Linked DNA regions of Xenopus tropicalis. The protein of the gene in region 1 binds, or shares a complex with, the protein of each later gene. Links are inferred from orthologs where the notes say so. Each region holds a gene or a part of one and is shown in the gene's direction. Other genes may lie near its edges. The genes, in order: atp8b1 and tmem30b.

Region 1 (16,316 bases):
ACCCGGCCCAAGGAAAGCCTCCCATAGGGCTCAATGGCACTCTGCAGCTCCAACCCGCCCCAAGGAAAGTCTCCCATAGGGCTCAATGGCACTCTGCAGCTCCAACCCGGCCCAAGGAAAGTCTCCCATAGGGCTCAATGGCACTCTGCAGCTCCAACCCGGCCCAAGGAAAGCCTCCCATAGGGCTCAATGGCACTCTGCAGCTCCAACCCGGCCCAAGGAAAGTCTCCCATAGGGCTCAATGGCACTCTGCAGCTCCAACCCGGCCCAAGGAAAGCCTCCCATAGGGCTCAATGGCACTCTGCAGCTCCAACCCGGCCCAAGGAAAGTCTCCCATAGGGCTCAATGGCACTCTGCAGCTCCAACCCGGCCCAAGGAAAGCCTCCCATAGGGCTCAATGGCACTCTCGTTTCAAGAATACGATTTTGGCACAAAAATTGTTTCAAAGTACGAAAAAGTTGCGGAAATTAACTAAAAAATCACAGAAAATGCGCACAGTTCTAAAACTTTGAAAAAATATGAATTTTAAGCATTCGGACACAATCGTACTTTAGTGAATAGGCCCCTTGGAGTCCAACCAGAAAACTGTTTTTCCATAATAAAAGAACATTCCAATATTTATGTCAATGGTCGGTTATTTGTAGGTGTAAGCAGTATCTCTATGCCTTTATATTCTGTGCAATGCTGGTTCTGACTCTTGAAATGTAGCAGAAGCCAGCTGATTAACCAACCTCCATGAGAACTACATTCTGCTGCATTGCTTCAAGAGTCATAACCATAGAAAACGAAGGGATAAATACTGCTTTTAATTGTAATTATATTTAGAAATATTTTTTTAAAAGAACTTGGAAACATCTTTTACTCGAGTATACTCGAGTATAAGCCGAACCGAATATAAGCCGAGGTACCTAAGAAAACTGGAAAAACGTATTGACTCGAGTATTAGCCTAGGGTGGGAAATGCAGCAGCTACTGCTAAGTTTTAATAATCAAAATAAATACCAATAAAATTACATTATATGAGGCATCAGTGGGGCATATGTTTCTAAATAAACACTAAACACTAAACTAGCTCTGTAAGTGGAGAAGAAGGTCAACAAAAACAATATGGTATCAACAATGATACCTTAAGAGTACTACTCCCTTAGCTCAATCAGCAACCAAGCTAAAACACAAAGAGTTAAAATCCTTCAAAACTATGGTTTATATAGAATATAAAGTGCAATGTCTAGTGCAGAATGGGACAGGTGAGGATGGGAGATGAATTTGGGAGTGGGACAGGGCACTGGAGGGTCTGGTTGCGGGTGGCCTAATTTGCACACAAAGGACAGAGGGTGCTAGTCTGGAGAGACCCATGGCACCCGACTCGAGTATAAGCCGAGGGTGACTTTTTCAGCACATTTTGGGTGCTGAAAAACTAGGCTTATATTCGAGTATATACAGTATATTGGAAAGTTGCTTAGAATTCATTGCATTTTCTTTCATTTTGCACAAAACTGTTTTAGGAGTGGCGCAACATAGAAGGGCCAGGCCACCTGTCCAGCACATACAAGCTGAATTAAAGGACCACCAAAAAAATGAAAGAGCTTTAAAGTAATAAAAATATAATGCACTGTTGCCCTGCAATGGTAAAACGGGGGTGTTTGTTACAGTAACACTACTATAATTTATATAATAAGCTGCTGTGTAGCCACGGGGGCAGCCATTCAAGCTGGAAAAAAGGAGAAAAGGCACAGGTTACATAGCAGATAACAGATAAGCTCTGTAGAATACAATAGTGTTTTATTTGTTATCTGCTATGTGCCTGTGCCTTTTCTCCTTTGAATGGCTGCCCCCATGGCTACATAGCAGCTTATTTATATAAATTATAGTAGACTTTCTGAAGTAAACACACAACTTTTACCAGTGCAGGGCAGCAGCACATTATATTTTAGTTACTTTTATACACTTTCATTTTTTGGTGTTACTGTTCCTTTAAAGCAGCATAAGGGGCTTAGGAGGGGGGCTAGCATATAGCAGAGCCTGTGGTCTGGGTCCCTGCAGTACCTATAGGGTCTGCTGTATGGTAGTTGCATCACAGTAGTTGTATTTAGGGTGGGGATACTGCACATTTAATTAAGCGGTGGGTCACCTTTAGGTTAACGTTGAGTATGTTATATAATGTCCTATTCTCAGCAACTTTTCAATTGTTCTTCATTTTTTATTTTTCATAGTTTTTGAATTATTTGCCTTCCTTTTCTGACCCTTTCCAACTTTCAAATGTGGGTCACAGACCCCGGCAGCCAAAAGCTATTCGTCTGTAAGGGTAAAATTTTATTGTTATTATTTAGTACTTATATTTAGGCCCCCCCTCTAATCATATTCCTGTCTCTCTTTCAAAACACTGCCTGGTTACTAGGTTAAAGTGAATGCTAGCAACCAGATAGCTGCTGAAATTCCAAACTGGGGAGCTGCTGAGCAAAAAGCTAATTCAAAAATTTAAAAAATGAAGACCAATTGCAAACTGTCTCAAAATAGAACTGCATCATACTAAAAGTTAACCGCGTTAATCAAATGTCAAAATTAAAATTTACAAAAATGATTCCCTCTTTTGATGTAATTATAAAACAGTGCCATGTACTTCATCCTTATTGGAGGCAAAATAATCCTATTGGGTTTATTTACTGTTTAAATACATTTTTTAATAGACTTAAGGTATGGGCATCTACATTACATAAAGATCCATTATCTAGAAAACCCCAGTTCCTGAGCACTCTGGATCAGTGCTGTCCAACTTCTGCGGTGCCGAGGGCCGGAATTTCTCTAACATACATGGTGGAGGGCCGCTAATGGAAGCCAGTTTTGACCACTCCCCTTTTTCAAACCACACCCACTTCAAACCACACCTATTTTATCACAATTGTGGTAGCACAGCAAAATCCCAAATGCTTGGTCCTTACTGTGGGGATATCAACCATCATTCATATGTGAAAGAATTATGTCATATTAAGATATACCCTTAAATTCCATATGCCTCCTCCTCCCCTGTGGATAGCAGAGCAACCCCCAGTACATAATTACACACCTTTGGGACCATTTAATGGCTATTTCCAACTGCTAACAAACTCCCACAACAAACTCCTGCCACGTTCACCTCCCACAAGCAGCATAGGGCAAGCAGAGTATGGCACACACAGGCAGCACTCTGCCTGTCCTATGCTGTCTGTGTGTGCCATACTCTGCCTGTCCTAACCTGCCTGTGTGTGCCATACTCTGCCTTCCCTATGCTGCCTCTGTGTGCCATACTCTGCCTGCCCTACCCTGCCTGTGTGTGCCATACTCTGCCTGCCCTAACCTGACTGTGTGTGCCATACTCTGCCTGCCCTACCCTTCCTGTGTGTGCCATACTCTGCCTGCCCTACCCTGACTGTGCGTGCCATACTCTGCCTGCCCTACCCTGACTGTGTGTGCCATACTCTGCCTTCCCTATGCTGCCTCTGTGTGCCATACTCTGCCTGCCCTACCCTGCCTGTGTGTGCCATACTCTGCCTGCCCTACCCTGCCTGTGTGTGCCATACTCTGCCTGCCCTACCCTGCCTGTGTGTGCCATACTCTGCCTGCCCTACCCTGCCTGTGTGTGCCATACCCTCCCTGACCTATGCTGCCTGTATGTGCCATACTCTACCTGCCCTATGCTGGCTGTATGTGCCATACTCTGCCTACAGTACCTATGTCTGAGGTGTGAAGAAGTGAACAATGTGGGTGATTACAGCCTGAGGTGTGAACACTGCATGGGGTGAACAATGCAGAAACTAAAAGGTGTGAAAAATACAGGGGATTACATTTTTAAACAATACAGGGGGATTACAGCCTGAATCTGAGGTGAGAACCATGCAGGGGGCCAGTTAATCTCAGTACTGATACCATTTAATGCTTACTCAAAGGTAAGCCATCAAAGCAGCCATACAGGTGGGGGGCCACACAGAGGGGGGTCGCGGGCCGCCAGTTGGACAGCACTGCTCTGGATAATATGTCCCATACCTGAATAAAAACAGAATACTGCACTAGTGAGAGCAATATGCAAGAACAGAATTAACAGCAATCAGCAATCATTTCATTTTAATGATATATCACTGTTTTACCATTAGAAATGCCAATGGCATCCCACGCTGTAGTGATTTTAGGTTCCGTGTCCTACAGACCAATGGCACAGATGTCCCTCTGCCCCCTCACATGTGCATCAGCCAAGGTGCTTTCCAATAAATAATATGACAAGCAGGGGTAGCCGGACATGGCAGTCCCAATGCCCAGTGTGCCATAGGCTTTCCTTGCCAAGCTGAGGCGCTAGAAAGAAAAGCAAGGGGAAACAATGAAACTCTCACTACAAAAATACACAGGGCAGGACGACCTGAGCTTTTTATTCCGTATGTGACTCAGTAGATCCCCAGGCATTTTTCCTTTTTTTTTTGCAAGGTATTAACAAATTTCCTCATGAGGGTTGACGGACATTTTTGCATCACTAAAGTGCTCCACCCACATTATTCATTTTGCTGCTCGTCCCTTCAATCATTATGTTACATCACGTGGGACTGTTTATATCACACGTGTACACTACAGCTCCCTAGGGCAACAGCGTGGGGGTACTAGGCATGTACCTCTCCTGTCTGCCTACTCCTAGTCGGGGCCCTCCAGTCCTGTGTGCCATCCCCTTGCTGCCTGCTCCCCATTCTCCACTACCCGCTTGTCATTTCCCCCTCCCCAGGTGTAACCATACACATGAGAGCTCACTTGAGGCGGGGGCGAGGTGGCCCCCACTAGTTTGCCTAGGGTGCTGTCCCATTGACTTGAATGGTGAAGAAATCCTGCCCAGCAGGTCCATGGAAAAGATTTAATTGGTGGGCCCCCACTGCCCCTCGAGCACATAAACTTCAGTATAACAAGGCAGGCAGTATAGAAATGGTGTGCGCTTACTGGAGCAGACATGATCCCTAGGTGGAGTAAATAAATGAGAAAATAGGGGGCACCGTAAAAAAAAGCAGAGAAATTAAAATAACCATGCTGTAGCACTTACACTGAGGGGTCTGCCATGTCTGCTGGTGGGCCTCCTGTCCTGCTCTGGGCAAATCCCCATTTATCACAATGGCTCTGAGTCAGGAAGTGCCAAGTGTCAATAGCAACAGTAGCCATTGCTACGGCTATGAAAAGCACCACATAAAATAAGGATCATGTCTTTGATATTTATTCTTTTATTTATTTAATATGATTTGTGCCTCCCCCGGTGCATCCTGCTACTCTGACCCCAGACCCCTTAGGGCTGATTCACTAAAGGTCGTTAAAACGAGCGCTAAAATGTTATTATTAAAAATGTTATCGCGTCTAATTTTTCGTGTCTTAACGCACGATTCACTAAAAGCATACTTGCGTTAATTTCGACGCGATGCTGTTTGCGTTATTTTAGTCGTGAAGACTATTTTCGTGCGGTATTTGATGGAACGAGCGCTAATCAACGCACCGCGTACAAATATTTGCCGCGTGCGAAAACACGCACGCCATGTTAGTCATAGATGCCATTACTTTCGGAAAATTACTGTACTGAAAATGCCCATTTCCCTGCAAACTGGCGGCTGCATCACTCTGGGGCCAACACAGACTGAATAAATCCCACTGCAAAGTCCGTATTGTGTTGCCAAAAGCTCAGGAACTGTACTTTTCTATAATTACCGACTGCCCCAAGTAGGGGTTAATTTTTGCAAAGACTAATGCGATATTTAGCGCGTCTAAGTGTTTGTGAATCATGCATTAGTATTATTTTGGCGCGTACATTAACGCATGCGGTAATACTGTAGCGAATCGCGCATTAATTTTTGCGTCTATTTTAACACAAAAAAGCGTGCAATAAAACTTATCGACCTTTAGTGAATCAGCCCTCTTGTATTAGTGGTAAATATAAAGTTAGTTCATAAAGGGGATCTTGGGCCAGGGCAGTCAGGGGCGGTGGGATTGTAAACCCCAGGAGGGCAGAATGGGGACCATAGCTCAAAAGGGAGCAGACATCATGGGTCCTTACCCTAAATATATGCACGTATGCATACAGTGGGAGCTGCCATATTGCTCAAGTGCATTCTTCAACAAAACTAAAGCAATATATTTTTTGACCACAAGGAGTGCTGTTGTATTTACAATGAATGGTGAATGCATCTGCAGATGAAACAAACTTCCCACTTTACAGAGAGGGACAGCACTGTGTAGCAGGAGATTTAAGCTGACAATTAGCTACTATCTCCATTGTTTTTCATGGGGGGATAGAATGACTAAACTCTGTAAATAAATAAGGCACATTTTCCCTTTACACTGAATAGCAGGGCATTGGCTGTCCCTGTATCTAATCATGTGACTCCTGCATCCAACCAGTTGCCTTATATACGTGTGCTGCCCTGCAGGCAGGTGAGATTTACCCTTTAATTTGTTTGCCTGAAGTTCCTATTTGTCTCTCTTGTTCTTTATTTGCCTGAGCAGTTCTGTAACCTGAGCAGGTTCCTATAGCAGAGACAGGAGGGAGGGCTGATGGTGGCCCCTGGCTGAGGAGGTGATGGAGAGGGGAGGGTCTTACAGGACCCCAGCACTCACCTACAGGCCTTGCCCTTACCTGAGGTCACATGACCCCACACCCTGGCCCTCCCTGACTGCAGCCAGTTCATGCCTCATTTCCTCCCAGGGCTCAGAAGGGAGAACACACAGTGTGAGTGTTAATGTGTCTCAGCTCTGGGAGAACAACAGGCTGCCTGAAAGTTGACAAACTTGTTTGTTAGGTGTGACAACCCAGCGAGGGAGGAAGCCATTGGTGTGCATGGATTAGGTGTACAGAAACAGCTCTGCCATTGTCTCCTATGGAAGAAAATCAGGGGCCCCACTAGCTGGGTCCCAGAAAAGAAGGAGGAAGAAGAGGTAGTGGGGGAGGTACGACCGGCTCCTATCCCCTCTCAGGTAAGAACAGTTGTTTGTCTGTGGTTTTCCCCCAGTCTCAGAGCTGGAATGTAGGCAGCTCCCCTGGGCTCAGTGCTACTCATACTACCAACAGCCCCACTGTGCTTTGTGAAACCTACCCCTATCCCTAGGCTTACCCCTAGCCTAATTCCTATTCTTACCCCTATCCCTATCTCTACCCCTACCCCTAGCCTAATTCCTATTCTTACCCCTACCCCTAGCCCTATTCTTACCCCTAGCCTAATTCCTATTCTTACCCCTGTCCCTATCCCTACCCTAATTCCTATTCTTACCCTATTCTTAACTAGAAGTTAGGCAGGTTATATATAGGCATTAAGGTTGAACGTGATGGACGTATGTCTTTTTTCAACCCAACTTACTATGTTACCCCTATCCCTAGGCTTACCCCTAGCCTAATTCCTATTCTTACCCCTACACCTTTCACTATCCTTACCCCTACCCTTACCCCTGGCCTTACCCCTACCCCTATCCATATCCCTATCCCTGGCCCTATCCCTGGCCTTACCCCTACCCCTATCCCTAGTCTTACCCCTATCCCTAGTCTTACCCCTATCCCTAGTCTTACCCCTATCCCTAGTCTTACCCCTATCCCTAGTCTTACCCCTATCCCTAGTCTTACCCCTATCCCTAGTCTTACCCCTATCCCTAGTCTTACCCCTATCCCTAGTCTTACCCCTATCCCTAGTCTTACCCCTATCCCTAGTCTTACCCTATCCCTATCCCTAGTCTTACCCCTATCCCTATCCCTAGTCTTACCCCTATCCCTATCCCTAGTCTTACCCCTATCCCTATCCCTAGTCTTACCCCTATCCCTATCCCTAGTCTTACCCCTATCCCTATCCCTAGTCTTACCCCTATCCCTATCCCTAGTCTTACCCCTATCCCTATCCCTAGTCTTACCCCTATCCTATCCCTAGTCTTACCCCTATCCCTATCCCTAGTCTTACCCCTATCCCTATCCCTAGTCTTACCCCTATCCCTATCCCTAGTCTTACCCCTATCCCTATCCCTAGTCTTACCCCTATCCCTATCCCTAGTCTTACCCCTATCCCTATCCCTAGTCTTACCCCTATCCCTATCCCTAGTCTTACCCCTATCCCTATCCCTAGTCTTACCCCTATCCCTAACCTTACCCTTAGCCCTATCCCTAACCTTACCCTTAGCCCTACTCTTACCTCGATCCCTAGCCTTATTCCTATTCCTGTCCCTACCCTTATCTTTACCCCTATCATACACCTATCCCATCCTTACCATTCTCCCATCCCATCCTTACTTCCTCTCCTTATCCTTACCCCTATTCCTATACAAACCCATGCCCTTATCCTTACTCCTATACTTATCCTTACCTTTACCCCTATCCTTACCCCAATTCCTATACCAAACCCTACACCTATCCTTATCCCTCACACCTGCCTCTATTGCCTGCATAAGGGGACCTGCAAAAGCAATGCACTTCCCAGGTTGTACTAACAAGGCACTTTTAACCCTTTGTTTCCACCCAGTTTAAAAATCCACTGTACAGAACTACCCTTTTGTTCTATTCATTTACATGTGTGTTGGGGGGGGGTGAAATAATTCTAATTGTGGTAATTAATATTAACATGTACTGCTGACAAGGGCTCAGTTGATGGCATTCCAGACTACTAGCAGCTAGGATGTGGGAGTTGTAGTTTAACCCAAGACCTGTGGGGAAGCAGTTTGAAATAAACTCAAGGTTCAAATTTCGGGTTCAGTCAAAACAAAGTTTTGTTGTCAGTGACCAAAAAGTTCATTTTAGAAACCAAAAAGTTGACTTCAATCAATTGCCCTCATGTTTATGACTTTGCCCAAACCAGAACAAGAAAACGCAGAAATGTTCTGCTCCGTGTGAGAGAGACATGAAATTAAACAACATCATTGGGGCCAAATCCAAATATTCTTCCCCTGTTTGTGGCATTTTCAACATTCCCCATTGTGTCTGCTTAGGATTTTTACCCATTAATAGTTAATTATGTTAGATAATTAAGACTGGTTACCTATCCAAGCGCAGAGTGTAGGTACAATGGCATTTGTTTTGCTGGGCGAGCTAATAACATGGTGGTTAAAACTTTATTTTTATCATTATGAGGTATAAATTTTGTGGTCAATTTAAGGTGAGAATGTATCACAAATTTGACTGTTGTCATTCAGCTGTTGTTGAATTATAACCCCCAGTAAGCACCGCAGAAGGCTGTATATTACTGTAAATAGTATAACAACAACAATACAAGTATCACAGATTTGACAATGCAGAAGTTAAATGTTACATATATATTGTTATAGTATATACTATTCACAGAGGCTATTATCCCACTGCTACTATAGGCACCATCTCTCCCTACTATACCTGCTATCCCACAGCCCCAGTCCCTTCCCAGAGGCTATTATCCCACTGCTACTATAGGCACCATCTCTCCCTACTATACCTGCTATCCCACAGCCACAGTCCCTTCCCAGAGGCTATTATCCCACTGCTACTATAGGCACCATCTCTCCCTACTATACCTGCTATCCCACAGCCCCAGTCCCTTCCCAGAGGCTATTATCCACCCACTGCTACTATAGGCACCATCTCTCCCTACTATACCTGCTATCCCACAGCCCCAGTCCCTTCCCAGAGGCTATTATCCCCCCACTGCTACTATAGGCACCATCTCTCCCTACTATACCTGCTATCCCACAGCCCCAGTCCCTTCCCAGAGGCTATTATCCCCCCACTGCTACTATAGGCACTATCTCTCCCTACTATACCTGCTATCCCACAGCCCCAGTCCCCTCCCAGAGGCTATTATCCCCCCACTGCTACTATAGGCACCATCTCTCCCTACTATACCTGCTATCCCACAGCCCCAGTCCCTTCCCAGAGGCTATTATCCCCCCACTGCTACTATAGGTACCATCTCTCCCTACTATACCTGCTATCCCACAGCCCCAGTCCCTTCCCAGAGGCTATTATCCCACTGCTACTATAGGCACCATCTCTCCCTACTATACCTGCTATCCCACAGCCCCAGTCCCTTCCCAGAGGCTATTATCCCACTGCTACTATAGGCACCATCTCTCCCTACTATACCTGCTATCCCACAGCCACAGTCCCTTCCCAGAGACTGAATGCTAATCTTGCTTCATTGATAAGAATAATCAAAGAAGAAAATGGTAAGGGACAGACAGACAGACAGACACTGACACATAGCAGTTACATTAATCAAAAACTGTTTTAATCAGTGTATCCTGGAATGTTTATTTAAATTAATTAATAAGTTATTTAGCTATGCCAAAAACACACAAACCTTTGGGTGGGTGTCCCATGTAACCAAACTCAGAAGCCACTGTGCAAAACTGAATGTAGGCTCACACCACACCCTCCCATGTTTTAAAAGGATAAATCTGTTTGTAACACAAATAATGTGATGCAATGTCTGAAAACTTTTATATAGTGTGTGGCCCAACAGACCCAGTGTCTCGACTTGTTTACCATTTTTTGGCATAATGCCGTACACTTGATTTTCAGGCTCTGCTAGGACTTACTTTATTGGCCATATAGTGGAGATGGAGAAGCTACATTGTTTTAGTAGTCAGAACCAGCAGTGCAGAGAACAGAATGTGAAGGTGTGAATGAGAACACATTATAAATATGCCTTCCCTGCTGGGAAACAGAACATGCTCTCATTAATGATCCCGCCGCCCCTGTGGAAAGGAGAAATGAATGAATATCTTAATGACTTCTGTGCCATTGGGCAGCTGGCCCTGCGAGAGTACAGATTAAAACTGTAATGTAAAAGTGAATTTTGCTAATTGAAGGCTTGGTTGTGTCTGAAATCTATATATTTCCATGAGCCACACATACAGTAATGCCTGTATATAATGCCAGGTCAGTCGGTGGATTGGAGAACATGATTGGCTCATTTCTGAGTTATGCCATGCAGACATGGGGGGGATCACGCCTGTGCTGTGTGGGAGGTGCAGTTCAAGGTGTCAGGGCTGGGCTTCCTGATTGGCTGCTTGTGACTTGTAACATGTATGTAATAAAAGGCACTAAGTTTGCCCAGGAGCAGTAACCCATAAGATATTTGCTTTAAACTGGTGACCAGTAGATGCTACCTGCTCGTTGGTTGGTATGGGATACTGCTTTAATTTAGAGATGCACCGAATCCACTATTTTAGGATTCGGCCAAACCCTGAATCCTTTGTGAAAGATTTGGCTAAATATTGAACTGAATCTGAATCCTAACTTGCTTATGCCAATTGGGGTAAGGGAGGGATAAAGAGAAAATGTTTCAACTTCCATGTGACAAAAAGTCAATTTGGTTTGGCCAGGCATGTGGATTTGAGCAAATCTGAATCCTGCTGAAAAAGGCTGAATCTTGGCCGAATCCAAACTGTTCATCCCTTCTTTTTATTACATACACTAACCCCATAAATATCACAGGAAATACTGTGTTTTCTTTTCTTATACCCAAAATGTAGTGCTTTCCCAGGATTCCAGCATCATTGCGGGCAGGTAGCGAATAAAGCAACTTACACATGATGTACAAATGGAATTGTTGAGTAAAGCTTTTTGCTTCGGCAAATCGAGCACATTTTGCTTCACAAGTTTTAGATTGCGTAGCCTACTAGCCGCAGGGCACAAAGAGCTGATGCGGTCTACGATCTAACTAAATTTTTTAACCTACCCAATCGATATCTGCCCGATTTCAGGCCAGATATCGGTTGGGCAGGCCCGTCATTGCTGCCCCTACACGGGCCGATAAGCTGCCGAATCAGTCTAAGGGACCAATATCAGCAGCTACAATTGGCCCGTGTATGGGGCTTTTGGATAACGACTGCAGTTCTGTGGCTCCTCGCGGCACATCCCATTGATCTGACTCCCCTTTGAAACTGGGATATGTGAAATCCCAATCCTAACTGGCTATTCATTGAGATGTTACACTGTTTTTTAATAAATGTGAAAAATGTGTTGATTGAATATTAATAGGCTAATAGTTAACACCTGGTTAACTATATATTCAGCTTCTTATGTAACATGGGGAGCAATGTCACTGTATTTAACCCTTTCCCTGCTGATGGTCCGCTCTGCTCTGTACAGGCATGGGGGTGTTGAGGAGCAAACAGAGGCTTAAGCTGCTACTGGCTGGTATTTGGGACGAGGTGAGAGAGGCCGTTATACATAACTAGCAACATAACTACATAATACGCTCTGCTCTGTACATCGGGAAGTGCTAAAATCTGTTTGCAGGGAGGCATGGGCTGTGTTTATACTGATAACATTATCCAAATTCGACTCGACCAATCCTGCTGCACGCATTTGTCACCCAGTTCTACTGTGTAATGTGTAATATGTCCCAGTGCGACCTGTTTGTGTTGGATTAGTGACCCCAGCGGCACCAGTAGTCGGTTCATATGTGTATACAGTATATACAATGTGTATATATAGTGTATACATTTCATGCATTCAGTGCTCATTTTCTATATGTGGTGTATAGCTGGAAAACTCTGCGGTGAGTTGTTGGACATATTTCATAATCTGGAAAACTAAAGGAACAGTAACATTTAAAACTGAAAGTGATTAAATAGACGCCTGTTGATTTAACCCTTTAGGCGCTGTCCATAGCGAGTTTGCCCTGCCCTGTAGAGCTTACAATCTAAGTGGATGGGTAACATACAGGCATAAATAGGAGGGCAAAGTGCACAAAGGTTTGGCAGCCAAGACTGGACCAAATAATGTTCTAGGTGGGATCTAAGTTTGTTTTTGAAGAGGTGGAGAGAGTGTTCCCTACAGAGGAATTTAGTGATATTCAGAGTGAAAGAGAGAGAGGGCTCTGACAGGAGCGGATGTGTCCTGGAATGTACCGGGAAACAAGTGAAGAAATGTATTGAGCAACCCACTCACCCACCCGACTGCCCACTCGCGTCCCCCACTCCCTGTTTGTTCTCAGTTTTTTTGGTGTTATTGGTGCTTTTTAGTACCTGGAAATTGCAACCATTCATAGTGACTCTAAATTTTGATTGGCCTGGTATGAAAATCCTATAGGCCAATGATACATTAAAATAGGCAGTGGCTGTTAAAATTCCAGCCAAGTTGGTATTCTAGGTGTGTGGATAAACTGGCGACTGGATCCTGGCCATCAGCTGTAGAGTTTGTATTTACTGGGTAGGACCCATGAGATTTCCCCAGCTAATGGCTGTCAGGGGATGCTGCGAGAACAGCTAAAGGGCAGCAAGGTGTGAATCTTACAGTGTATGGCCACCATTTGTGGCCCATGTTGAGGTGGCCATACACATTCAATCATTTGGCAAGGTCCCCACCTTGGGTGCGCGATATCGTGCTAATGCAATCATTTGGTCCTAGAGCCAAAGGATCGCATTACAATGCAGGAGATATGAAAAGTCATAGCGAGGACTGCATCAATAAGCCTCAACAGAAAAATCAAGCCTGCCCAATTGACATCTGCCTGATTTTTGGCCAGATATCGGTCAGTGAAGCCTGTTGGAGGGCTCCGTACACAGGCAGATAAGCTGCTAAAACAGTCTAAAGGACCAAAATTGGCTGTTGAAATCTGCCAGTGTATGGCCACCTTAACTGAGATGAAGCATAGCTCTTTATAGTAAGCAAAATAAAATGCGAAGCCAAATAATAAACGTAGCTGATGTAGTTGTATCAAGAACGCTATAACCAGGAAAGGCGGCACAATGGCAGATAAAGGCGTGGCAAGGGCGGTCGGAATGCTTTGTTGATACTCCCTTCTATTTACTTGCTAATTGGGTCTTTTGTCACTGAATAGGCTGTGACACTGCTTGGTCATGTTGTAAATTGTACTTCCTTGGAAATCAATACAAACAGGAGTTGCTATCTACATAAAGATACCATAAAATACATCATTTTAGATCAGTGATCCCCAACCAGTGTTTCGTGAGCAACATGTTTCTGGCTTGGAAGCAAGTTTTGGTTGCATAAAACCCAGTGTAAAGCCAAACTATAGGCTACCAGTAGAGATGTAGCGAACTAATTCGCGCGAACATCAAGTGTTCGCGTTCGCGCAAATTCGCGGACTTTTGCCGATGTTCGCCACTTTGGGTTTGCCGCGTTTTTTTTTGGCGCCGCGTTTTTTCGCCTTGGTTTTTCCGCCGCGTTTTTTCGCTTCGTTTTATCACCTATGCATATACATAGGAATAGCTTGCGGTTTTTTTGGCGTTATTTTTTGGCGTTTTTTTTTTGGCGTTTTTTTTACAAAGTATTTTTCAGAGAAGTTTTTGCCCTTGATCCCCCTCCTGCATGTCACTGTCCAGGTCGTGGCACCCTTTAAACAACTTTAAAATCAGTTTTCTGGCCAGAAATGGCTTTTCTAGGTTTTAAAGTTCGCCTTCCCATTGAAGTCTATGGGGTTCGCAAAGTTCGCGAATATTCGCGAGTTTTGGTGAAAGTCAACATTTTCGGTGATGTTCGCTACATCACTAGCTACCAGTCCACATAGGGGCTACCAAATAGCCAATTATAGCTCTTATTTGCACCCCCAGGAACTTTTTCCATGCTTGTGTTGCTCTCCAACGCTTTTTCCATTTGAATGTGGCTCACGAGTTTAAGAGGTTGGGGATCCCTGATATAGATCATTCCATAGGATACATGTCTATGCACAACAAAGTCACACAAGGCCTGAGATGATCCCATTGCAAGTTCTCTTACTGGCACAACCACACTGTCCCTCTAAGAAGCTGTTCAGAATTGTCTGTGGTCTGGTAGATAATCTTGTTAGAATGATGTGAATTTTGGCTTACGTGCCAAAAAGGAGTTTTTCTTGTAGTAAAAATGGTAATGGAAAGGGTCTGTTATTCTCTGTAGCTCTGCACAAACATGGCAAAGTGTTGTGCCACTCAGATGCTCCGCATAGCTAGGGAATGGCATGATGGGACACGTATGTGCAGGTTAGCCGGTTGAAAAGGAACATGTGCCGACAGTCCCAGCGGAAGTCAAGGAAAGGCTATGCTTTATGTATATTTTAGGTGCAGTAGTAACAGATGGGTCACATTCTTTTGTTCTGGCATTCTTTACATTCTGCTTCTTTCTCTTCCTGCCTATTTGGCTCTAGGCAGAGTGTTCTTAGTGACCCCTCCCCGCAGCCATAGGAGTGTCTGTTCTGACTTGTGACAAAAAGAGCTCCCCTTGACTCCAACATAGAGTGATACTGATGTGCTCAAGTTGTGCTGCAGTAGGAATGCGGCCATCATGCCAGGCTGGAGGGCAGTACAAGCATGTGATTGGTCGGAGTACTGATGTACCTCCAGTCCACTGGATCTTTACATCCTCATCCTCCCCAGCCTAACATGAAGGCTCAATACTCAGTGTAGTGACTAAAGTAGAAGGATATTGTCCGGTAACTGTAGGGGGGTGGGGTAGGGGAAGTGGAAGGGCTAAAATTAACATAATATGGGTATGTTAGACATAAAGTGTTGTACCACTTAAACAAAAATGCACCCAGCCAATATTTCACCAGTCTCGCCAGTAAAATACCAGCCAGGGCCGGGGCCCCGTTAGTTTGTGAAAACTTGTCCTCCGCCTTCAATCCACCCCCAGCCTGGCTCCTATCCCCTCTCCAAGCTCCATTTCTACCATGCCCTACTCACTATTTCTGCTTGAATGTTGTCTTCCAACATTATGACAATCGCCATTTACATCATAGACCTGCCCCCCCACCTTGATTTGTGAATCAGGGCATCTTTTAGAAGATAATTGCAACTGCATCCTGTAGCCATGGCGACAGCATATAGATTGCCCTCTGTGACATCATTTCAAAGTTGGATTCTATTCTTTTCCCTGTGTGTTGGTGTGTAGTATAGCGACCAACTGTGAGGAGGTGGGGCTTTAGCCAAATGAGATTGTTTGCTGATTAGTTAATTGCTTGGTGACTGTGATTCAGAAGTCTGGAGAAATGGAGAAAGTGTTGGGAAGCTTTTCTTTGCTTATTCAGCATTTCCATTGGGGAATGGAAGCAGATATTTTTACACATTTTTCCATGTAGCCTTACACTTTGGGGAAAGGAGGCACTTTGCATTGCAATCAACTTCCTTCCCCCCCACAGTCCATGTGATTATTGTAGAAACTGCACTAAAGCACTTTAGTATATTGTAGAATAACTCCTCTTCTTACCATCTTGCTAAAAGTTCAGTTAATGTGACCTACCCCTTTAAACAGTAGCAGGTAGGTTGAGTGTTAGACATACAATTAGCAGGTTAATGTATCTCTACATTGTGACGTCACTGTGTTTGCTTTTCAAAACACTTGTTTGAAAATGAAGGCCGGATTGAGCTCAGCAGGTGTCA
Region 2 (16,021 bases), on another chromosome or scaffold:
AAGCTTCGTATATCGGTTGTCTCGTTGATTGGATGGGTCAAAAGATTTTGATCGGGCACCGTTGAAGGCGCCCAAGCAAAATCTGCATTTAGGGCTAAATTGTCAGATAGGGGTAGAATACCTATTGTTTCTACCTCCGTATCTGATGATTCAGCCCTGAACGTCAATGGAGGGAATGAACATATGTGTATGGCCACCTTTATGGTGAAGACACACAGAGCTACTAGTAGCAGCTACTTGTTATGGCTACTAAGGGTGAAGACACACAGAGCTACTTAGTAGCAGCTACTTTTTCACTGCTACTAAACGCCAGAAATTAGTTCAGAATTGTCTATTTTAGTAGCCACGACAAGTAGCTGTTACTAGTAGCTCCATGCGTCTTCACCCTAAAAAAGACAATGCTGATCCTTTACTTACTGTATAATTGTCTCTACATGTGTTTTAGATGAGTTAATTCTCAGTACTGTATATGTTGAAACAATTGTTTAAAAAAAGACCATTTTAAGCTAGGAATGCTTGGTCCTGCAAATAATTGGATTCTCCAATCAGATTTATTATAAACTATGTAATTTCTGATATTGATTTTCTAGATGTGACTGTCTGTAAGGAGCAAAGTAGATTGCACACATCTATTCATGTTAAGGTTACAGACCTTTTGAATTCTCTACCGAAATCTTAAATGCCAAGTGTTTCTCAGAATCAGCCAAGCAAAAAATCAGAGGATCTAAGATTGATTTTTAGCAAGAGGGAGGGTACCTCCTAAAATGAAAATTTTGGGTGCAGAGATTGGATCATGTTCATGCTGAAATATGAGAGAATTAGAGACAATGAAAATGAGAGAATTAAAAAAAAATATATTATTTTATATAAGCTGTTACAGCCCTTGTAGCAGGTATGTCCACCAAAGCATTAGCCAATGATAATTACTGATGATATATTACACTTTTAAAAATGTAAAACCTACGATTAGTTATACATGAGGCAGAAATTTAAAGGAGGTAATAAGCCCCACTGATCCAGTTGATTAAAGGGCACCTATAATTATGAAATTGCTCCCCCTAACAGAGTAGTGGGATAATAGATCTCGCACTCCAGCTGGGAGAGACAATAGCTTTTAGATCAAATATATGTGCAGGCCATGATCCTTATAGAATCATAGAAGTTAAGCACAAAAAGCAAGATATTACCCAACAAGCTGTGGCCAAACAGTGGGTGAAAGCAAAACCCGGTCCTTCTGCATTCAGGTGCATGCGCATTGAACATGTATTCAGATGCATAAGAGTCGTATTTGATCAGAATTGCTTCTCAAGGGAAAGGCTCATTGGGTTCATGAATTATAGGGTTTAAAGACCTAAATGAGAATTTGGTACAGTTTTTTCTTGAGATAAACCCATTGGGGCTGAATCCCAAATGGGGAAAAAATCGGATTGGAAACGAACATTTTGCGACTTTTTCGTATTTTTTGCGTTTTTTTTCGTCGCCATCGCAACTTTTTCGTAGCCGTTACGACTTGCGCAAATTGTCACAACTTTTTCGTATTGAGCGCTAGTAAACAGCGGGCAAACCTTTCCAAGTTTGTCGCGACGGCTACGAAAAAGTCGCGACAATTCGCGCAAGTCGTAACGGCTACGAAAAAAAATCGCAAAATACCGATCATTACGAAAAAAATGCATTCGGACGCTTTCGATCCGTTTGTGGATTAGTAAATCGGCCCCATTGAGTAGCGATGTCAAGGCAGATATTGTGTGTATATAAAATGGAAAACTGGCGTTAAGCATTTCTTGTTTGTTTATTGTTCATTACCCACTTGGATCACACAGCAAGTATTTTTGAGAGTGTTAGTCTTTCAGGATTGTTTTCTCTTGCCAATCTTCTCCCAGTCTCCCAGCTGCACACGATATCACAGAATACTAAAGTAGGTCAGCACACCCCCAGCGTCTTCCCACCTTTCTCTGTCACATCCTGAATACCTAGTTCAGTAGGTTGACGGACCCAATATGCTGGAACTGCTGCCAGATTCACGTTCACACTCTGTAATGTTAAACATTGATTTTAGGGTTTTTTTTGTGATTTTAGCGATTTTATTGCATTTCATATTGTTCTTTGTTACTTGTCTTGCACATGGACATTTTGGTAAATCTATGCATATTGGGCATCAAACTGTTCAGTAGACCCCTGGCGTTCATGTTTAGGGTGCTTTATGTTGGTACGTTATGAAATGTGGGGTACATAATGGGGCAAAATGCAAGCTTTTCTATGACTTATTTGCATATGTATGAGGTGGTCTCCTCAACCCCTTTAGCTCATAAATGTTATAAAAACCATTCTGTTTAGCATAGCTTTGTAGTTTGGTAGTTTGCAGTAGAAAGATGTATTTACCCATTTTTGTTTTGTCAGAATGTGTACTTTCAGAAAATGTATGGTTTTCTAGGGTCTCCTTACTGTTAGGGGGTCTTATGGCACATAATACACATACCGGGTGCAAAAACTGCACGAGCCGGAGCGTAATTCGTGAAAATTCATATGCATTATTTTCATTTGGGTGCCCCTGTACTCCACATAGTTTGGTAAATCTATGCATATAGGGCATCAAACTGTTCAGTAGACCCCTGGTGTTCCTATTTGGGGTGATTTTCCTTTGTACGCAAGAAATTGTGTGAGATAAATGTGGCAAATTGCAACATTTTTAGTAGATTTTCTGAAATGTCATAGAAACCACTAACTTTAGGAAAGCTTTGCAGATTGGTACTTTGGTGTAGAAAGGACTTTTTACCCATGTTGGATTTGTCTGAACGTGTACTTTCCAAAAATATATGGTTTTCAGGGGTCACCCTACATTTCTGCAGTTTCTATCCCACATAAAATTGCCATGTGTTTATGAATTAGGTAAAGGTAAGCCATGAAATTAGCATAGCTTTGTAATTTGGTAGTTTGCAGTAGAAAGATGTATTTACCCATTTTTGTTTTGTCAGAATGTGTGCTTTCAGAAAATATATGGTTTTCTAGGGTCTCCTTACTGTTAGGGGGTCTTATGGCACATAATACACATACCGGGTGCAAAAACTGCATGAGCCGGAGTGTCATTCGTGAAAATTCATATGCACTATTTTCATTTGGGTGCCCCTGTACTCCGCATAGTTTGGTAAATCTATGCATATAAGGCATCAAACTGTTCAGTAGACCCCTAGCGTTAATATTTAGAGTGTTTTATGTTGATACATTAGAGATAAGATGCTGCAAAGTGGAAGCTTTGAGGGGATTTTTGGAATTGTCATCAAAATTGCTAACTTTAGAAATGCTTTGTGGCTTGGTACTTTGGAGTAGAAAGACACAGGTACCCATTTTAGATTTGGGGGAATGTGTACTTTCCAAAAATATATGGCTTTCTGGGGTGAGCGTACTTTTTTGTAGTGTTATCCCACACAAAAGGATGTAAATGTGTTGATATTGCAGAAGCTGGAATGACAGAAATGATAGATCATATGGGGGTATGTTCACATTGGGGCTCCTACATGCCACATACTTAGGTAAACCTATACACATTGGGCATCAAACTGTTCAGTGGACCCCTGGCATTCAAATTTAGGGTGTTTTATTTGGTTACTTTATGACCTGTAGGAGATAAGATACTATAGACAGGAAGCTTTGAAGCGATTTTTAAGAAATTTCACAAATTTTGATAAAAACAAATAACTTTAGGAAAGCATTGCAACTTGGTAGTTTGGAGCAGACAGACAGTTCTACCTATTCTGGATTCCACAGAATCTGTTCTTTCTAAAAATGTATAATTTTCTGGGATAAACCTTCTGTTAGTGGAATTTGTGACCTTGAAATCTAAAGTATGCAGCTTTCTGAAGCAGTGCTTTGGAAATTTGGTAGTGTACTGCTGGGAGTTTTTGACCTATACAAGTGAGAAATCTCCATAAAATTATATATATTTGGTATTGGCGCGTTCAGGAGACATGGGACTTTCCAAATCAGTTGTATTTTTGTGCATAAAATAATTTTTGTTTCTGGTATATGTGTTTATATTATGGAAAATATTTATTTATTTTTTCATTTTTTAGACATTTAGAAGCCTATATCTTGTTACAGAATTGGAATTACACAAAAATTCCACCATATTTTGAAAGCTTAGGTTGTCCTGAAAAACCGGATATATAGTTTTCCTGGGTAAACTAAAAGTCCCCCCTAGGAAAAGCCCCTAAATTGAAACAGTGTAAAATGTTCAAAAATTGTCTGGCAGTAGAAGTTCCATTTTGTTCAAAACGGCTGGCAGTGAAAGGGTTAAAGGAGAAGGAAAGTCATTTTGGCATTTTACTGCCAATAGATTTGTCACATTAGTGCCACAGCTTGGTCTTCATAGCTTCCTGTTGTATAGCTCTAGCCATTATAGCTGGGATCACACATTCCTAAGGGAGGGGGGAGGGAGGAGTTCTTAGTGTTTTTGAGGGAGGGGGTGAAGGAGAGGGGAGAGAGGAGAGAACTGTGCAGACTCTGACCCCAGGAATGAAGGATTTTTTTAGATACCCTAAGAACATATTTACAAAAAAGGAGACAAGAAATCCTGTGTTTCTTTTGATAGAGGACTTAGTGTAGCTTTTCTGTGAGTGCTTATGACTGTATTTACGTAGAGCTTTCTGATGGAACTCTATCCCTGAATCATTCCGTAGGGAACACTCATTTACTCTCTTTAAGATAAAACTCAGATGCTACCTTTTGGAGCACTAAAACATTATTTTGCCTAGTCCTGCGCTTAAGGGCAAATGCCCATACCTAGTGCACTCATACCTTCCAATTTGTGCCTGTATGTTACACAACCACTTACTGCAGACTGTAAGCTCTATGGGGCAGGGACCTCCTTCCTACTGTGTTCCATGCCACATGGCACTTATTTCCTGTGTATTTATACTTATTTATTGTATTTACTATAACACTTGTCCTCCCTGTGTGTAATTTTGTATATTGTAGGATTGGACAGCACTGCGTACCCTTGAGGTGCTTTATAAATAAAGTTATACATACATACATAAAGCTTACTTAGTTTTTACCTTTCCTTCTCCTTTAAGGTATTACTCAATGTTATAGAAAATGCCAAAGTGTCTTTTCCTTTTTATATTCCAAACAGATGTTCAGATGTTCTATGGGTTCAGGCTGTTAACAGATAGTTAATCCGAAAGCCTCCACCATTAAGTAGAAGTGCCTACTTACAAACCAATGTTTGGAGATGCTGCCTGTAGTCATTAAATTAAGCAGATCTCTCCTTTTCTTCAATATATAAATTGTATAACATTTTGCCTTGTAGGCATACTGCTACTGTATTTGAAACAAAATATGACCATGGACCTCAAATATAAACATGGGAATGGGACACTATTGGTGAGCAAGAAGCTGAAATTGCTCTTAATTGATGCTAATGATTATCATGAAGTCACCTGGGCATTTTTTTTTTACTTTTGTGGAAGTATTTAAGTATAAAATATTTACTTGCAAAATATCCTTTTGTAAAGGTTCCAGTAGGTACCGAAACATTGGAATGCACAGTGTTTGAAAATAAAGAGATTATTTGCACAAACTAATGGGGTATGGATCCTTGGGTGCATATTTAAAGGGGACATATTGTGTGCAAAACAAGAATGTGCCAGTGTAATATACTCCTCTAAATATAGAAGGAATGTTCTATACCCCATCTACTGTGCTTCTGGTAGGGACCGTTAGGACATGTCCACCCCTCATTTCAACAGAAACAGGGACTCGAAAGGATATAAAGGGAGCCCCATTAAGGGGCCATTTTTAAAGTTAATGGTCACCACCATATATTATTTATTATTGCATACAAGATTAGGGGTTTTTCATTCATTCTATACGTCTCTTAAAACTAATTGACCCAGCACCCCAATTGACTGATTGTGTGTGTATCTATATATATATATATATATATATATATATATATATATATATATATATATATATATATATATATATATATATATGTATAGAGAGGCAGGTGTCGGCACTCGCAGGGTTCTCACGATAAAGACTCATGGGCAACAAAGCTTTGTTGCCCATGAGTCTTTATCGTGAGAACCCTGCGAGTGCCGACACCTGCCTCTCTATTCTGTTTTTTCTGCTCTGGCACCCAGGTATCGCTCCTGAACGGTGGTGTGCTCTCCATTCTAGAAATGTATATATATGTGTATATATATATATATATGTGTATATATATATATATGTATATATATGTGTATATATATATATATATATATGTATATATATATATATATATATGTGTATATATATATATATATGTATATATGTATATGTATGGGTCTTTTGAGTTAGGTACTATATATGCATAGAATTAACTGTAGAGATTCTAGAAAGCGCTATCTTTAGGAATATTGTATGTTTATGATGCTCACCACCAGAGATGAAAGGAAACAGGTTAGAGATGAACAGTCATGTTAAATGACAGAACAAAATAATAAACAAAAATGTAAAGCTTGGGAAGAATGTAGAGAAATTGGTAAGGGACATTTCAAGGAACAGCAGGGGAAATAACTCTTGCCATTCTCATTTTTTTGCAACAGCTGGGAAATGAAATCCTCTTCCACAGACTTCACAATTAAGGAGCCTCTTCCATCACAGAGACCAGATAACACTGCATTTACTCAGCAGCGACTCCCAGCATGGCAACCACTACTCTCTGCTAGCATTGTTATTCCTTTCTTCTTTTTTGCTGGCTTATCTTTTATAGCAATTGGCTTAGGTTTATACTACTCCTCAAACAGCATTAAGGAAAGTGAGGTAAGGGTGATAGCATGTCAGCTAAAGCTGGCCATACGTTTCGTACAATTTTCAGCTATGTGTGGGCTCTCAATTCTCGTCCCGATGATTTTCGTACCATGGCGATCAGTCACTTAGTTAGAAAATTTTGGTTGGATAACGATATAAGCTGTGCATGTATTGTGTATCTCACGATATCCTTGGGGGACCTACAATGCATTACCAGGAAGTCACTTTTGTACGATTGGTGTCTGCCAACTATTTCATGTTCAGCACATGCTCCAATTTGTTATTGTTAGGGCTTTATCCTACAATTTCAGTCGGAATGTTTTAGATCGTTGCATTTAAATGTACGGTCCATATCTGAACATGTAGATGACTTAAATCAGTATGGCTATCTTAATAAAAAAAAAAAAAATAATCTCAAAGGTTTAATAAATATTGTCACTAGATATGAGGGCATACTTTCTTAACCCTCCAAATTACCAGTCCATATTCTTAAGGCACATGAAAAATACAAATACTGACTACTCCTTATATATATTATTTTTATATGTTAAATTAACATTTAACATCTGGACAACAAACATAATCTGGCAACTTTGTTACTGGTTTATTTATACATTTATTATTCCACACTATCATTAAAAGTAGTTTGCAATTGTGCATTTTAGCTGGATCCTCACAGGTGACTGGTGAGCTTGGACCTATTTCATGTTCAAAGCTCTCTGATGAGATTAGCAGACCTGCAAACTAATGTGACTAATTACATTAATTACATAAAGGGGCCGATTCACTAAAGGTCGATAAAATGAGCGCTATTTATAGCATGCGTTCTTACTTTTTGCACCTTAACGCTCGATTCACTAGAAGGACACGTGTCATAATTAAGAAGTGATGTTGTTTGTGTTATTAATTTGCGATGAGTTTTTTTGCGCTGCACGCAATATATTTTGCCGCGTTCAGAACTTCTGTTCTGAAAATGACCATTTCCCTGCAAACTGGAGGATACATCACTAGGGCCAACACAGACTTGAAAAAATCCCACTGCAAAGTCCATGTTGTCTTAACGCATACGAAATGACTTTGATGAATCTTAATAATCACATACTTTTTAACGCAAAAAAGCATGCGATAAGTGTTATCGACCTTTTGTGAATCGGCCCCAAAAACTGTTTGGGGAAATACTAGGAGGGGCACACCATCATTGCCTATAGAGTAGGATACTAGGCACTTCAGAATGAATCTTCTCTCATTTATTTTTAAGTTTGACTACACTGGTGCTGTGCTTGGAGACTACTGCTATAATTGCAGAAATGAATCAAGAGGTTGCACATGTAATGTCCCATTTAACATCACAGAATTCTTCCAGGTAAACCAAATACTCTTTGTTTCCAGAACTATATTTACATTTCTTTTTAAATAAATAATTTGTATATATTGTATAAATAAGGAAGCATATACTTTTGCCATAGCTAAGATGAAGTACTGTAAAGCTATAGGGTGAAAGGACAATTTTATGGCCATGTTTATAATATGATATAATATAATATGATAATGCATTGCTGCTCTATGGCTGTACATTCACCAAGTAATATTAGAACACACTACTGCTTGTAAAGAAGTTGAAAACAAGTCCAGGAAAAGCATATAGATATGTTACCCTTACTATTCAGATGGCACTGGATAGTGGAAAATATAGACAGGACTACATATACAAATTCATAATGAACTTCTGCTAACATGACAAACAATTAGTTAATAAAAAGAATTGCAAGTTGCCAAAAAAATATATATATTTGCATTTGTAAGTAGAGAAGAAAGTCTTCACAGGTAGCAGGCAAATATCTTCAACCCTAAATATCCTACCTAGCTCAAGATAACACACAGTAAGGCTAATGCCACATCCGGTATTTTCTACACAGGTGGAGAAAATGGCAATACAGTCTAAATCATCCCCATATTTGCATCTTATAAGCACCAGAGTGAATAGCTTTTAATTTAAGCACCAGGACAATTAAACATTTGTGATTTTGTTATGAGACATGGAAACATTGTGTATAGTACATTATTATGTATTTTTGAAATTAAAATGTATACTAAAAATCTCTTTTTTTCCTTAAGGGACCTGTTTGTATGTATTATGAGTTGTCTAATTACTACCAGAACCACTATCGTTATATGATCTCCGTAGATCCAAAGCAACTTGGTGGACTAATTGACAATCTAAAGGTATGTAAAGGAGTTCCTCTCATTGTAAAAATAAGACGGTTCCCTTATTTGGGAACTGGAAACCATATTAAACACCCATACCTTTCCTCTATTCTGTTGGCTCAAATGGATTTATGCAATAAAAAGCACTAAGTTTGCCCAGGAGCAGTAACCCATAGCAACCAATCAGCAAGCAGCATTTAGTGGTTGCCTGTTTCAAGGCAAATACCTTATTGGTTGCTATGGGTTACTACTCTGGGGCAACTTTAGCGCCATTTATTGCATATGGGGGTAAGAGCTTTCTAGTACCATTTGCAGGAGCACAACAACTTAATCCACAGATTCACTTAATGGAGTTCAATCACTTATCCTTCATTTAATGTACAAAGCATTTCCACAATGACTCAGAATTATAAACATTTTAACAGATTATATCAATTTTAGGAATTAGATTGGGGAAAACTTTGATGATTTATATTGATTAAATGTATCATCTGTATTCATTATACATGTAATATTATTATTAATAAATAATGAATGATAATATCAGATACATTCTTACTTTTAAGATTCTTTTGGTTAGAAAAAAATGAGCAAACTGATTTATTTCTATTTTTCTATTTTTTTTTTTTTTTGTCTTTCAGGCCCCCTCTAATTACTGTTCTCCATATCAGTGGGATTCAAAAAATTTGCCAATAGCTCCATGTGGTGCTGTTGCAAACAGCATGTTTAATGGTAATTTCATAAAATGGTTCTGTCACATTTTATTGGCTGTAAATGTATACCACAATTTTGTATTTTGTCTTGCGTTATTGACTGCAAAATTATTGGATAGGGTACACTCCATTTTAAACATTTGGAAGGGTTCTACTATATCCCTCTTTAATATGTTTATGAAATCATTATAAAGTTTGCAAAGAAAAAAAAATTAGCAAATGGTTGTTTTGTGCATGTTTTCCCTTAAACACTTACATTTTGCACTGCTGCGCCCATCTTTCCTTTTGTTGCGAACTGCAGTGAAATGTGAATCTTGCACAAAAATTGGCAAATGGGATTGCGATTTGTGTGTTTATTGTGCACAAATATAGCAATTTCACAATTTGCAAATATTTTTTCCACCACCAAAGTTGTGGTGTAACGTGGTTGCATTTAAAAAGCTTTTAAGGACATTCACACTGCGAATAAAAAATTTGCAATTAAATGCACCAGTCTTGTCCAGATTTATAAACGTAAACACAGGCAGGGCAAATATGTTCACTGAGCGAATTATTCTGCACTGCGTGAATTTTATAAATAACCCCCGTGTCTTTTTATTAACTTTGATTTGCCAGTAGGCACTGCCACTAAAGTGCCATACCGTGGCCTTATAACAAACACTGAAACGTTACTAAATCATATTTATAAATTACTTACAAATATAATTGCAACTGAAAGCAGTTGTGCCTTTTTCTATTGCACACTATGGCTCACTAGTACCTTATAGTGGCATTTTCTGGTGGCCTATTTTATAAGATGCTTTTGACAATTCAAATGTTATAGTGGTTTTAAAGATGGATTCATGATTTCATTGTTTTCTATTGATTCCAGAAGAATTTTCTCTTTTTTAGAAAATGGTACTGTCAAAAAAATATCTATCTATCTATCAATCATCTATCTACAAATATATAAATGTATTTATATATTTATGCATTATATTGTGTTTCTGTATTCTAGATGTCATTTCATTGCACTATAAGGACAATGGAACATATGTTGAAGTTCCACTGACAAGAAAAGGCATCTCATGGTGGTCTGATTATAATGTTAAATTCCAAAATCCTACAAACGGCAATGAAACCTTAGCTCAAGTCTTTAATGGTAAATCTGACATATTATTTCTTTAAAAAAAAACTATACTTTTACCACAATGGCCCTGTAATTTGATGAACATGTGATGTAAATGTTTTCTGCAGCAACTAATCATTCACTTTTTTTTAGGGATGCACCAAATTAAGATTCAGATTTGGCCAAATGCTAAGGGGCATATTTATTAAAATGTATAGTTTTTGGGGAAAAAACTTGCATAATTGTGATTAAAACTTTTCCTGAGATTGTCTATCTTATATATATTAAAATTCTGGAATGGGTTAACCTCAACTGTGTTTTGCTGCATGGCAACAAAGGCAATTAATGAAAAAAAAAACTTGATTTACAACTTTGCTTGAATGTTGAAAATAAACTTTTTATTGACTTTCCATGGCATCTCGGCAGGTTTTAGAAGGTAAAAAAAATGCATTTTTCTTTGGGGGAAAAAATTGATGATAACAAATAAAAATCAAATTTTACTAAACCAGCTTTTTTCGCCCGCGGCAACGGAGATTTGGCATGGCGCGACTAATCTCCCCGTGTGTCACGGCCCTTAAGCTTTAAATTGTATCTGTACTGAGATTAACTGGCATTGTTTACACCTCTGATTCAGGCTTTAAGCACAATTAAGACCCTGTATTGTTCACAACTCAGGCTCGAACATTGTAGGAAGCAGACCCTGCAGTTGCCCCCCCGCTAACACAGGGTCTGCTTGTCTCTAAGCCATGAATTTGAAAATAAGCATCTGCTTTGAGGCCACTGGGAGCAACATTCAAGTGGTTGGCGAGCAAGATGTTCCTTATGAGCCACTGGTTGTGGATCACTGCTCTAGATCAGTGCTGTCCAACTTCTGTGGTACCGAGGGCCGGAATTTTTCCGCCCTACGTGGTGGAGGGCCGATAATGGAAGCCAGTTTTGACCACTCCCCTTTTTGAAACCGCACCCACTTGAAACCAAACTCGTGTTATTACATGACCATACCTATATTAATGGTTGTAGTACAGCAAAAACCTGCCATACTCTGCCTTCCCTACCCTGCCTGTGTGTATGGCACACAGGCAGGGATTATTTGTGGGTTTCTACTGCTCCTACAGTCTGAGGTGTGAACAGGGGAACAATGTGGGTGATTACAGCCTGAGCCTGAGGTGTGAACACTGCAGGGGGGGAACAATGCAGAGATTAAAAGGTGTGAACAACACAGGGGATTACATATTTAAACAATACAGAGGGTTTACAGCCTGAATCTGAGGTGAGAACCATGCAGGGGGGGCAGTTAATCTCAGCACTGATACCATTTAAAGCTTACACAAGAGTAAGCCATCAAAGCAGCCAGACAGGTGGGGGGCCACACAGAAGGGGGGTCGCGGGCCGCCAGTCGGACAGCACTGCTCTAGATGTTAGCAGCAGTAATACAATTGTGGATATCTTAAACCTGTTTATGCCCTCTTAATTATAGAAGTATAAACTGATTTTATACCATAGGGCATATTTACATCTGCAAGTGCAGTTGCTGACCTGAAAATTCCCCAGTCAGTTGTGCATAAAAAAACACTGCCATTGAAGGTTCTTGTCTCAAAATGTGCTCCTTGTACTTCCTTATAGTTGCTCTTGGCCCAGCAGTCCTTACTTTCCCAGTTGAGTGCCACTGGGTCTGTTGATGCAGGAGAACAGGGTCAGACTGGGGGTGCTGTGCCCACCGGGGCTCCCGCCCCAGGGGCCCTGCAGGTGTCCCCTACCCTGCAGGGCCCCCTGAACGCATCAGGGGAGGAACAGTCAGTTGGGGGAGCGCCTGCAAAGGTCGGACTGGGCCGCTGGGGCCCACCGGGATTTTTCCCGGTGTCCCGGCGGCCCAGTCCGACCCTGCAGGAGAACCTGAAGCTACAAGCACCTCCTGACCAGATGGTAGCTCCAGGGTTCCCTTTGCACTCAGCCTCAATAAGTACAGCACACTTGAGCCCAAATAATTGACCGAAGCTGTCACTTGAACGCAAACACAGTAAAGGACCATAAAAGACCATATGGACTTCCACATAAATGTTTCCAATTTGCAACCAAATTTGCCTGCGGTTGCATAAATAATGCTAAAATGCTCACAAATATAGTAGGCGCAGCGCTATTCTGCCAAGAACATTGCCTCCTTGCAAGCACAATGAAGCTGCATGCTCACTCCACTTGTGGCTAGAAATGATCCCTCATGTCTTTTAAAATCTGCTATTAAACTGTTCCGTAACAGAATTCATCTAGCATTACTTTGGTTAGTAAATACCATAAATATGCAGAATACATATACAGCCTCTATAAAGAATGTTGATATCAGATATGTACAGTTTGTGAATGTACAAACATCGAACATTTTTATAAATACATTACACATTGTCATCTTCTATATCAACAGGTACAGCAAAGCCTTCAAACTGGCTAACTCCTGCATACAATCTTTCTGATGATCCGTCTAACACAGGGTTTATAAACGAAGATTTCATTGTTTGGATGCGAAGAGCAGCTTTGCCTTCTTTCCGGAAGTTATATCGTAGAATCGAGTCTGGGAATTTTACAACAGGTCTACCGCCTGGGGAATATCTGCTGAAAATTGTATACAGTATCCTTAAAAAAATGATTAAAAGCCCAGCATTATCAGCAAACCAACACACAGCAAAAGCTAAGCATCAGCTTTGCATTATTCTTTAATAATACTTTTCCTAAGACAAGATGCATAGACCTAACACTAAAAACCTTAAGGCTAATGCCAGACAAGGCGTAGAGCGTTTTTCCACTTGCCGAAAATTCCACCCTACGCCTCCTACTTGTGCCTGCACCCGAATGAATAGAATATGCTCGGGTGCAGGCACATGTAACAGAAATACCCATAAAAATGCGAGACTTTCAAACTCTCGCGATGTGTATATCGGCTACATGTGCCTGAACCCGAGCATATTCTATTCATTCAGGTGCAGGCACAAGTAGGAGGCGAAGGGCGGAATTTTCAGCAAGCAGTTTTCCACATTAGCCTAAGGGTGAAGACACAGAGTTACTAGTAGCAGCTACTTGTGATGGCTACAAAATAGACAATGCTGATCATTTACTGATAATTGTCTCTACATGTGTGTTAACAGAAGCAATTCTCAGTATTTTCTATGGCAGGGTATTTATTGCATTTTAGTAGCCATGACAAGTAGCTGCTACTAAGTAGCATATGAATATGCAGACATTTAGATTTACTGTATAGGATCTGTGACAGTGTGTTTAGAAAACACACCTGTCTTGTCTAAAAATGTACTGGAAAGTGCATTTGAGGTGCATAATATGGGCTGCAGGGGGATATCTAGTGCAGACAGAATTAATATACCCTCCCAGTAAGGTAATTATGTGGCAGCTGAGAGAGGATCTGCCTGTAGAGGTAAAAGGGGTGCACTCCCACACCTATGGGTCCTTCCTTGGACGTCTGGAGGAGACATGGCTCTTCCTTGCATGCCTGGAGGAGACAGGGCTCTTCCTTGGATGTCTGTAAGAGACTGGTCTGTCCTGTGTGTTCAAAGGAGAGACATGGTCCTGTTTGCAATTGGTGTGTGTTAAGATCTGTGTTGTTCGCCTAAGCTCCTCAATATAGAAATGTTTTACCTATCAAACCCCAAAGCAGGGTGGTGGTTTGCTCTTCACCGTAAGAACTTGCAAGCACTAGAAGTGGCATTTATTTTTTTTCCAAAGAACACCATCAATGGATGATGAATTATAGATAGTTTTTACAAACTTTAGGAAATGGACACCAAAGCTAGTACAGCATTAAGCAGTTTTGTTGATAGTTTGTATTTTAGACTATACCCTAACATTACAGCTACTCGCCTACTAATAAAGCTATCCACTGGCAGATGTTTAAATGTAGTGTTTGCTCTGCATCTTCTAACTTTCTCATGTGTTTGTTTGTGTTTGAGTCCTTAACAATACCTTTTCTAGATTATCCTGTACTAAGCTTTGATGGACGAAAAAAGATTGTGTTCAGTAGCCTCTCTTGGATGGGAGGAAAAAACCCATTCCTAGGCATTGCCTACCTTGTATTTGGTTCTTTGTGTACTTTGTTTGCAATTGTAATATTAATTATATTTCTGAAAACTTCACAAAAGGATGATGAGGACGAGGACAGCAATACATTATAGACTTAAAAATTAAGTTAATATTGCATCCTATGTTATTTCTTCTATTCATGAACAATCTAGACTCTATATCATACATTTCCAAGCCATTATTAAACTGTTAAGAATGTTTCCACATGCCAAAAACAAAGACTTTAAAACCAGAAAAATTTCAGGAGGACCGTTTCACTGCAAGGCAATACTTTTCAAAACATTGGTTGCTTTTTCAAAACTTTGATTATCTAGAAGTCATATCTATTTTGACGCACATTATTATAATATTCTTATTACTGTCTACAATCAAAGTTGTGATCCTTTTTAATTAGAATTACATTATTGCTATTTTTTAAATACATTTCTTTATTTAATCGTTATTTTGTACACTAGATAAATGGTTAATGCATTTCTTTGGTTTTCCTGGTGTTTATATTTGATTAAATAAAACATATTTATATTTAAACTGCATTGCACATTCTTTCTTCTCCCAATCCTCTATCCTCCTGACAAAAAGTTGATCTCTGTCATCACATTTACTGCACAGAAACAAACCATAGCTCGATAAAAAACAGGATGTACAGGCAATAAAGAAATATACATGCTGCATAACCAAAACTTAAAACAATTGTCTGCCATACATCATAGTGGAGGCAGGGATTATTTTGGCCCCTCTGCGTGGCCCTTGGTGCGCGTGCATTGCAGAAGTGACACAATGCATGAGCGTTACATGACTTCTGTTTGCGTACTGGACTGCCAAATACACCCTACCCCACCTTCTGCACTGCCAAATTTAGTGGGGAAGAATCCAGTCTAAATTTTTGTTAAGCTCTTAGTAGCTCTAATTGAAATTCAATTGAAATTGTTCCTATTCAGTGTCTAGTATTGTTCTCATTGTGAGTTCAGTCGAAATTATTATTTCTGCTGACAGTTCAGCCCATTTAGTTTAACATTCAGCATTTAGGGGCAGATTTATTAAAATGTGCAGTTAGAACTCGCCACAGAAAAATTCACCCACCTTCTATTTATTCTTATGGATTTTTAGAAGCATATTTAAC

Evidence for each region.
Region 2: the proteins of atp8b1 (region 1) and tmem30b are in contact, whole or in part, in a cryo-EM structure (PDB 7VGH), measured with the Homo sapiens proteins. The link is inferred for Xenopus tropicalis from reciprocal best matches to the Homo sapiens genes ATP8B1 and TMEM30B. Residues at the interface, in NP_001361314.1 of Homo sapiens: Trp362, Val366, Ser369, Ser370, Trp371, Tyr372, Leu373, Tyr374, Asp375, Gly376, Phe418, Trp421, Asp422, Leu423, Tyr426, Asp431, Pro433, His939, Trp942, Arg946, Tyr968, Phe971, Asn972, Gly973, Ser975, Ala976, Gln977, Leu1003, Gln1005, Phe1049; in NP_001017970.1 of Homo sapiens: Gly9, Ala10, His11, Gln12, Pro13, Asn15, Phe18, Thr19, Gln20, Gln21, Arg22, Leu23, Pro24, Ala25, Trp26, Gln27, Pro28, Leu30, Ser31, Ala32, Ala35, Leu38, Phe39, Phe46, Leu49, Leu53, Tyr109, Tyr111, Asn116, Phe117.

Annotation. Positions count from the first base shown.
Region 1 is NC_030677.2:201,978,327-201,994,642, forward strand, and holds the start of atp8b1 (phospholipid-transporting ATPase IC), read left to right. Parts: upstream 1-6,698; 5' UTR 6,699-6,962; intron 6,963-16,316. UniProt on the Homo sapiens protein: Catalytic component of a P4-ATPase flippase complex which catalyzes the hydrolysis of ATP coupled to the transport of phospholipids, in particular phosphatidylcholines (PC), from the outer to the inner leaflet of the plasma membrane.
Region 2 is NC_030678.2:89,246,297-89,262,317, reverse strand, and holds tmem30b (cell cycle control protein 50B), read left to right. Parts: upstream 1-6,594; 5' UTR 6,595-6,597; coding exon 6,598-6,807; intron 6,808-8,053; coding exon 8,054-8,158; intron 8,159-8,910; coding exon 8,911-9,018; intron 9,019-9,641; coding exon 9,642-9,732; intron 9,733-10,710; coding exon 10,711-10,854; intron 10,855-13,237; coding exon 13,238-13,441; intron 13,442-14,793; coding exon 14,794-14,993; 3' UTR 14,994-15,429; downstream 15,430-16,021. UniProt on the Homo sapiens protein: Accessory component of a P4-ATPase flippase complex which catalyzes the hydrolysis of ATP coupled to the transport of aminophospholipids from the outer to the inner leaflet of various membranes and ensures the maintenance of asymmetric distribution of phospholipids.